Caenorhabditis elegans: one gene and its partner. The protein of the gene in region 1 interacts with the protein of each later gene in a biochemical or structural test. Each region holds a gene or a part of one and is shown in the gene's direction. Other genes may lie near its edges.

Region 1 (4,557 bases):
TAGTTTTGGATGTGCCGTTACTAATAAAACGAGCGAGGATGAAAAACAGAGTTTAGAGAGGATATTCGGCTAGATGGGAAAGAAAACGAACAATTTAGTAGTGTCCAACTTCGACCTCACCCTCCTTCTTGAGTGGGTTGTACTTCTTGAAATATTCCTTATCGGCCAACTTTTGGCGAATTCCCCACCAGTGCTCGACTTCGTGATGGTGATGGTCTTCCTTTCCTTTGGAGTATTGAACCATGTGGCGTGGCTTGACTGCAATAATTAAAATAAAAATCAGTTGAATTCGTCAATTTATTTTCAGGAAAACTTAAAATAAACTACAAAAATTTTTAATGCAACATCGTGCCAGACGAAGTTGCCAGACTAAAATCAGGAAATATACTATTTTTTTTAAGTAAATCATCAACTCACTTGGCAGGGCGAATTTGTAGACTCCGTAGAGAATGACTCCTGAGTAAATGTAGAAACGGAAGATTGGGAGGTACTTCCAGCAATGGCGCCAGGACCACATTCTCAACTGAAATTGTCATTATTTATTTTCTTCATACTTTCCGGGAAATCTTACGTATTCTTGAGCGGTCCATGGCCGGGCTGGCATGCGTGGATGAAGGTCTGTGGCCGGGATTGGAGCATTTGGAGAAGCAACGACGACGGCGGCTCCTTTGACTGTCTCGGCAGTCCACTTTGCTGCCTCAAAGAGCTTTCCTACGACCATAGTTGATTACCTACAAAACTAAAAATGATTATGTAGTTAAGCTTTATTTGAATATTGATATTTTTAAGCTAAAAAAAAAGATAATTGACATAATTCAACATCGTGAGAGCGTGGGGAAAAATTGAACGTGAATTGCAAGAAATAAACAAAATAACTTATATTTATCAATATTTTACATCGAAAAAAAACTCAAAAAGAGCAATTTTTAGCTTAAAAATAAAAAATTGGGAAGCCAAAAACTGACGGCGGTTTTCGTCCCGCCCCTTTTTGCAAGATTGTGCGTGCTCGCGGTTGTGTGCAAACACGCCGCACACACTTACGACGCTGCGTTTTTTGTCTGCCTCCTGTTCTCGTTCAAAACTGTTTCACCGTTCACCTCGTTTTTCTCTCACTTTTCTGTTTTTCTTATTGTTTTCTACTAGAATTATATCTATATTTGTTCAAAATATAATAAAAAGACGACGCTTGAAGTGTTTCGAATAGTTATTTTCACTGAGCTGCACCTGTCTAATAGACCCACCGTTCAAGGAAGAAAATATCGATTTGTAGGCACTGAATAATATTTTTTAAACATTTTTCGATTCAAAATAAAAATACTTCCAGCAATGGCGCCAGGAAATTCATTGGAGAACTCACTCTCAAATATTAATCTCAATTTCGTAAAATGCTATTATCAAAAAATATCAATAGCACAGGCCACGTGGCTTTTGTTTTTTATTTAAGCTCCTCCCACAACTTTATTTCCGAAGTGAATTTAAAAATTAAACTAAAGGTCAATCATGGGAGGAGCCTAAATAAAAAAGAAATAAAAATCAAAAGCCATGTGGCCTGTGCGATTGATATTTTTTGATAATAGATTGTGGCTGGCTAGTTTAGATTCCTGTAGAAATTGTGCCAAGAAAATTTAAATAATTTCAAGACAAGGCCCAAAAGACAGTATATCATATTGTCAGAATTTTTTATTCCTTGGCACTGGCGAAATTTTCCAGTGCTCTAAATTATTCCAAAAAACCACAGCCACCTGTTTAAGTATATGTCTTTGAAAATTATATTCCTTCAAAGTTTTTACAAAACCTCAATTCTTATATTTTTCCGCTTCAATGATCTTGCCGAATTCAGTTTATTGATCAAAATGTGTTATAGTAATGAGCGTTTTCACGTCGCGTTTATATCGATTACCAAAAATTAGCCAAAAACTCGATCAATACTGCATAACCTGTCTTACACCTTCTCCTTCTCTTCATTTTATTTTTCTTCGAGCAATCTTGTTATTTCAGTCTACTGCGACCATCAAACATGAACTCAAACGGCCCGTTGATGGAGCACGGTAAGCGCCGTGTCGCCTACTACTATGACTCCAACATTGGAAATTACTATTATGGTCAAGGGCACGTCATGAAGCCACATCGTATCAGAATGACCCATCATCTCGTTCTCAACTATGGTCTGTACCGGAATTTAGAGATTTTCGTAAGTAATATTTCTTCATTGAAATATTGTAAACGTTTAATTTTAGCGCCCATTCCCTGCATCATTCGAAGACATGACTCGTTTTCACAGCGACGAGTACATGACGTTTTTGAAGAGTGCGAATCCAGATAATCTGAAATCCTTCAACAAACAAATGCTTAAGTGTAAGTTATATTCTTTTTAAAACTAAATGTATTGTCTCATTTCAGTCAATGTTGGAGAAGATTGTCCTCTCTTTGATGGTCTTTATGAGTTCTGCCAACTCAGTTCGGGAGGTTCTCTGGCTGCTGCCACTAAATTGAACAAGCAGAAGGTGGACATTGCTATCAATTGGATGGGAGGCCTCCATCACGCCAAGAAAAGCGAGGCGTCCGGATTCTGTTACACCAATGACATCGTTCTCGGTATTCTCGAGCTTCTCAAGTACCACAAGCGAGTACTTTACGTCGATATTGATGTTCATCACGGAGATGGAGTAGAGGAGGCGTTCTATACGACTGATCGAGTAATGACAGTGTCATTCCATAAATATGGAGATTTCTTCCCAGGAACCGGAGACCTGAAAGATATAGGAGCTGGAAAAGGAAAGCTCTATTCAGTCAATGTTCCACTTCGCGATGGAATCACCGACGTCTCTTACCAGAGTATTTTTAAACCAATCATGACAAAGGTTATGGAGAGATTTGATCCCTGTGCTGTTGTTCTTCAATGTGGAGCTGATTCTCTCAACGGAGATAGACTTGGACCATTCAATCTGACCTTGAAAGGCCACGGAGAATGTGCTCGTTTCTTCCGAAGCTACAACGTTCCACTTATGATGGTCGGTGGAGGTGGATACACTCCAAGAAATGTGGCACGTTGTTGGACGTACGAAACCTCGATTGCCGTCGATAAGGAAGTTCCAAATGAGTTGCCATACAATGACTACTTCGAATACTTTGGACCAAACTACCGACTTCACATCGAGTCGTCGAATGCAGCAAATGAAAATAGCTCCGATATGCTGGCTAAATTGCAAACTGACGTCATCGCCAATCTCGAGCAGCTCACTTTTGTTCCAAGTGTTCAAATGAGACGTACGTTTTGAACGAATTTTTGTTCACTTTTTAGAATCTGTCAGAAAATTATTAGATGTTTGTTGAACACTTCATAATTATTCCATTTTTCAGCGATCCCAGAAGACGCCCTCTCTGCATTGAATGATGACTCATTGATCGCCGACCAAGCTAATCCCGACAAACGACTACCACCACAAATTACCGATGGAATGATTCAAGACGATGGAGACTTCTACGATGGTGAGCGTGAGGGAGATGATCGAAGAAACGAGAGCGATGCGAAGAGAGCAGCTCAGTTTGAGTCGGAAGGTGGTGAAAAGCGTCAGAAGACAGAGTAAAACACTAAAATGTGCCGCCGTCGAATTCAGTATCTCCTCTGAAAATAATATTCAATCACTGTACACCACTTTTTCCTTGTCAAATGAGTATTACTTTTTGATTTTCCTTAAATCTAATTTAATTTTCCGCCCAAATCCCAACTGTTTTATTTATTTTTCAAATTCAAGCACTTTTATTTGGAAGATCTCTTCACTTTTCCCCATTAATCCTTTTTTATCTCAGTATCCTTTACCCGTTTTGCACTTCCTCAACATCCTTACTCCTCACATCCACATCTAATCTACCCCCTTCAACGATTTCCATTTCTCTTGTCGTCCCACACTCCCCATTTTACTGGCACACAATTCCAATTCCACAGTCAGATCCTGAACACTTTTTTGTATTTTGGTGAATTTCTTCGTTTTTATTTATTTAATAAAATTGACTCGATTGGAACCGGCGCAACGTCTATCTTCAATTCGGAAATTGGAAAAATCGAATTTGTCACATTGGAATTCGAATGGAAGAAGACTAAAGTTTTTGCAGTTGACATCGTTTATGTCGTCAGTTTCAGCTGCTTCATAATTATTGTCTGGAAGCGAGCAATTATAACACGAATTATGATGACTACGCATGTGGTCTCATATTACAGAATAAATTCTCATTTCTATTTTCAATTGTATTCCTTGTCTGTCTTCATCTGATGTTGGATGGTGTGCTCCAAAACGGAGACCAACAAAAATTGCATCATAAAAATCCACTTATCCAAATTTTAGCCCCACCTGGGAATGGAATCGAATCGGCTCTCCGAGCACTCCTTTCACACAGAGACGGAGAGAGAAATTAGCTTTTTACTGGGTTCTTGTTGTTGAAAATGCAAAAAAGATGAAAACATGTTTCGATTCTTTCTTTGTTTTTCTTTTTTCTTTCCACTCATTCATACTTTTCATTGTTTGTCGTTCATTTTTCAAGTCTAAAATTCAGAAATAT
Region 2 (3,676 bases), on another chromosome or scaffold:
CCTTCAAAACCGGTAAAACGACACTCTCCTTTTACTGCATTACCTTTTCTAGAAAGTCCAGATTTGGCATAATCAGCGCTGTCAAAGCCTTTCTGGTACTCATCGATCCAGTGACGAGTTCCTTGATAATTGAGCTTTCCAGCTGCTGTCCAAATGAACAAAATATTGTATGGAGGACGTGTGCTTGGAGAATCATAGAATTTTGACAGAACAGCAAGCAATTCGAGAAGTGCAACTATACCAGACCCATTGGAATCAGCGCCAGGCGAGACTCCTGGAACGGCCGATTGTGTGTCATAGTGTGCCACAAATGCAATCGTAGGTGCAGCACGATCTCCACTACTCAAGCGACCAACAATATTCAGTGGTTTGTATGAAGGTGGAAGTTCTGGACTTTGATCGGAAGAAGTGATACTGATTGTGTTTCCGGAAAGTGATTGAAGCAAATGTTGCAGGGCTGTGGGAGCTTTTTCCGAGCGAGTATTGACATCGTGAAGAATAGAAACGGCGTCATCATTGAAAGGAGCCACATAAACAGCCAAGTCGGTCTTTGCGCTCAACAACTTTGCTTCAAGATCGATGAATGCCTGAATAATGAGCATAAATAACTTTTATGGCAATATGAAATTAAATGTTCAAGCTAACCTTCCGATCAATATCGTTAAGTTCATCAAGATTGTCGGGAATGAAAATAAGCACGGCACCGGTAGAAAGTGCCCACATGTCATCGACATCTGTTGTAAGAAGATCTCGCCATGTTGTAACCATAGTTCTAGATATTAAAATATTACTATTTACAAATGAAATATCCAAAAAAACCTGCGAAGAGTTCTTGCACCCAAGGAAACAGCTTCATATGATACGCGATAATTTTTGCATCCATAAATGTTACCACTGATTTCGTATTGATGAAGACGGTACGCATGAAACTCGGTTTCTACGACTTCTCCAACTTGCTGGGACCCGTTCACCTAAATATGGAGAGTTCATCTTCTAAATCATTACCAACAACTTACTACACAAATGGTTAACATTAAAGTCATGTAGAAAAGAAGAGCCGGACTTCGGAAAAAATCGATGATTTCATCCTGCATCTGAAAAAAACATATCTTAAGCTCAAAATCACGAGAATCCTGTGCAAATTAGGATGAAAGATCTTTCGGAGTAGGAATTATTTAATAACACAAACTATCATGATTCTACAGAAATCGATAGAATTAAACCAGAATTGATGATATATAATACCCGAGTAGGGAGAAAACTGCATGAGTTTTCTGAGCGGAATTCAAATGAGCCAAACATGCTCTACCGTACCTTGCAACAGCGGTGAAGGCAAATCGTTGCGAGACCCCTCCCCGCGAAAACCGCGACGCGCACACACTTTGAAAGTGGGTTTTATCGGTCTTCTACAGTTTTGGTCACTTTCCCGCATTAAAATTCTCTGTTTTAATATATTTAAATTCAATTGAATTAATATTTTATTATTCACCCCTTCTTTGTTGTATTATTTTATCTAACTACACTGTTTGAACGATAATTATTCTTTGCAAAAATTGAAAATTTCAGGAAATGGCCACTCTTGAAGATGGAACCTCCGAAGATCGCGTCGCAAATGATGAATACAAAATTTGGAAAAAGAACACCCCGTTCTTGTACGATCTCGTAATGACACATGCGCTTGAGTGGCCTTCACTCAGTGTTCAATGGCTCCCAGACGTTGCGAAGGTATGTGTTCTCATATAATTCACAACTTTCATGAAGTGAATTCAAATAATTTAGGATAACAGCGACCATACTATTCATCGGCTCATTCTTGGAACTCATACTTCAGATGAGCAGAATCACTTGCTTATTTCTAAGATCTGTATGCCAACGGATGATGCCCAATTTGATGCATCTCGCTACGATACCGAGCGCAGTGAATACGGTGGTTTCGGAGCTGTTAACGGAAAAGTGGAACCCGATATTCGCATTAACCACGAAGGGGAGGTTAACAGAGCTCGTTACATGCCTCAAAAGTCGAATATCATTGCTACAAAGTCTCCACATGCTGATGTTTACATTTTCGACTATTTAAAGCACTCTGCTGTTCCTCGTGATAACACGTTCAATCCGCTTATCAGACTGAAAGGACACACGAAGGAAGGCTATGGATTATCATGGAATCCAAACAAAGAAGGTTTGATTCTATCAGCGTCAGATGATCAGACAGTTTGTCATTGGGATATCAACGCAAATCAGAATGTTGCCGGGGAATTGCAAGCGAAGGATGTTTTCAAAGGTCACGAGTCAGTCGTTGAAGATGTTGCTTGGCACGTTTTGCATGATGGTGTCTTCGGATCGGTTGGTGACGATAAGAAATTGTAAGCTTTTGTTTTTTTTCTATTTATTAACTAATTAAAAATTATAGGCTCATTTGGGATGTGCGCACAAGCACTCCTGGACACTGTATCGATGCTCATTCTGCCGAAGTTAACTGTCTCGCATTCAATCCATATTCCGAATTCATTCTGGCCACCGGATCAGCTGATAAAACTGTCGCTCTTTGGGATCTACGTAATCTACGAATGAAACTTCACTCATTTGAATCACATCGTGATGAAATCTTCCAAGTTCAGTGGAGTCCACACAACGAGACTATTCTTGCATCCAGCGGTACTGATAAACGTCTTCATGTGTGGGACCTATCTAAGATTGGAGAAGACCAATCTGCCGAAGACGCGGAAGATGGTCCACCAGAGCTGTTGTTTATTCACGGTGGGCACACCGCCAAGATCAGCGATTTCTCGTGGAACCCGAACGAGCCTTGGGTTGTGTGCAGTGTGTCAGAAGACAATATTCTCCAAGTGTGGCAAATGGCTGATAACATATACAACGAAGTTGACGAAGAAACTCCAGCCGATGTGGTAGAGAGACAACAGTAAAATACGTGAAACGCGCTTAAATTATTTGTATTTAACTTCTATCCTTCTTTAATTTTGCATCTCAACAAATTGTTCATCTTACCATTTATTCAAACGCATATTCTTCACCAACTAAGTTTTTAAAGTTAAAATGTTACCTTGAGATATGATCATATTTTGTTGAACCTGAAATAAATTCGATGACCATTGTCAGATAACTGTTTTGAAATATTATGTTAACGTGATTGTTGTGATAGCTCAGATTGTGATATTTTTGGTTTTTTGTTGTATCTTTTGTTATTTCAGGCAATTTCAGAGCACAATGAGTGAAGCTGAATCGTGTGAAGAAACGAGTAAAGAACATAGAATTTGGAAGAAAAATGTTCCATATCTCTACGATACAGTCGTCACAAAAGAGGTCGAGTGGCCTTCTTTATCAGTGCAATGGATGCCTGATGTCACAAAAGTAAGAATCGGTAAATATGATTTCGCCTTCTTCATTATTTTTTTAAGACAGAGAACTCGGATTCATCGATGCATCGAATGATTCATGGAACACATACTTGTGGAGGAGTTCAGAATCATCTCATGATCTCAAAGTTCACAATAACGACAGACACACCAGAATTCGACGACGCTAAATGGGATTCGGAACGTGAAGAGTTCGGAGGTTATGGAGAGGGCAGCGCTGCAAAATGGGATACTGAGATTAAAATCAACCATCCAGGAGAAGTTCATAGGGCACGTTACATGCCACATAATCCTTTCATTAT

Evidence for each region.
Region 2: the proteins of hda-1 (region 1) and lin-53 form a complex in vitro, tested with the Caenorhabditis elegans proteins (one study listed by BioGRID).

The regions. Positions count from the first base shown.
Region 1 is NC_003283.11:14,523,391-14,527,947, forward strand, and holds hda-1 (Histone deacetylase 1), read left to right. Parts: upstream 1-1,998; 5' UTR 1,999-2,017; coding exon 2,018-2,191; intron 2,192-2,237; coding exon 2,238-2,355; intron 2,356-2,400; coding exon 2,401-3,267; intron 3,268-3,360; coding exon 3,361-3,587; 3' UTR 3,588-4,021; downstream 4,022-4,557. Other genes in the region: ril-1 (RNAi-Induced Longevity), read right to left, coding at 95-258, 418-523, 572-721.
Region 2 is NC_003279.8:9,617,651-9,621,326, reverse strand, and holds lin-53 (putative histone-binding protein lin-53), read left to right. Parts: upstream 1-1,566; 5' UTR 1,567-1,569; coding exon 1,570-1,725; intron 1,726-1,779; coding exon 1,780-2,363; intron 2,364-2,410; coding exon 2,411-2,924; 3' UTR 2,925-3,116; downstream 3,117-3,676. Other genes in the region: nra-2 (Nicalin), read right to left, coding at 1-1, 44-587, 646-772, 820-971, 1,017-1,094; putative histone-binding protein rba-1, read left to right, coding at 3,226-3,369, 3,417-3,676. UniProt on the Caenorhabditis elegans protein: Core histone-binding subunit that may target chromatin assembly factors, chromatin remodeling factors and histone deacetylases to their histone substrates in a manner that is regulated by nucleosomal DNA.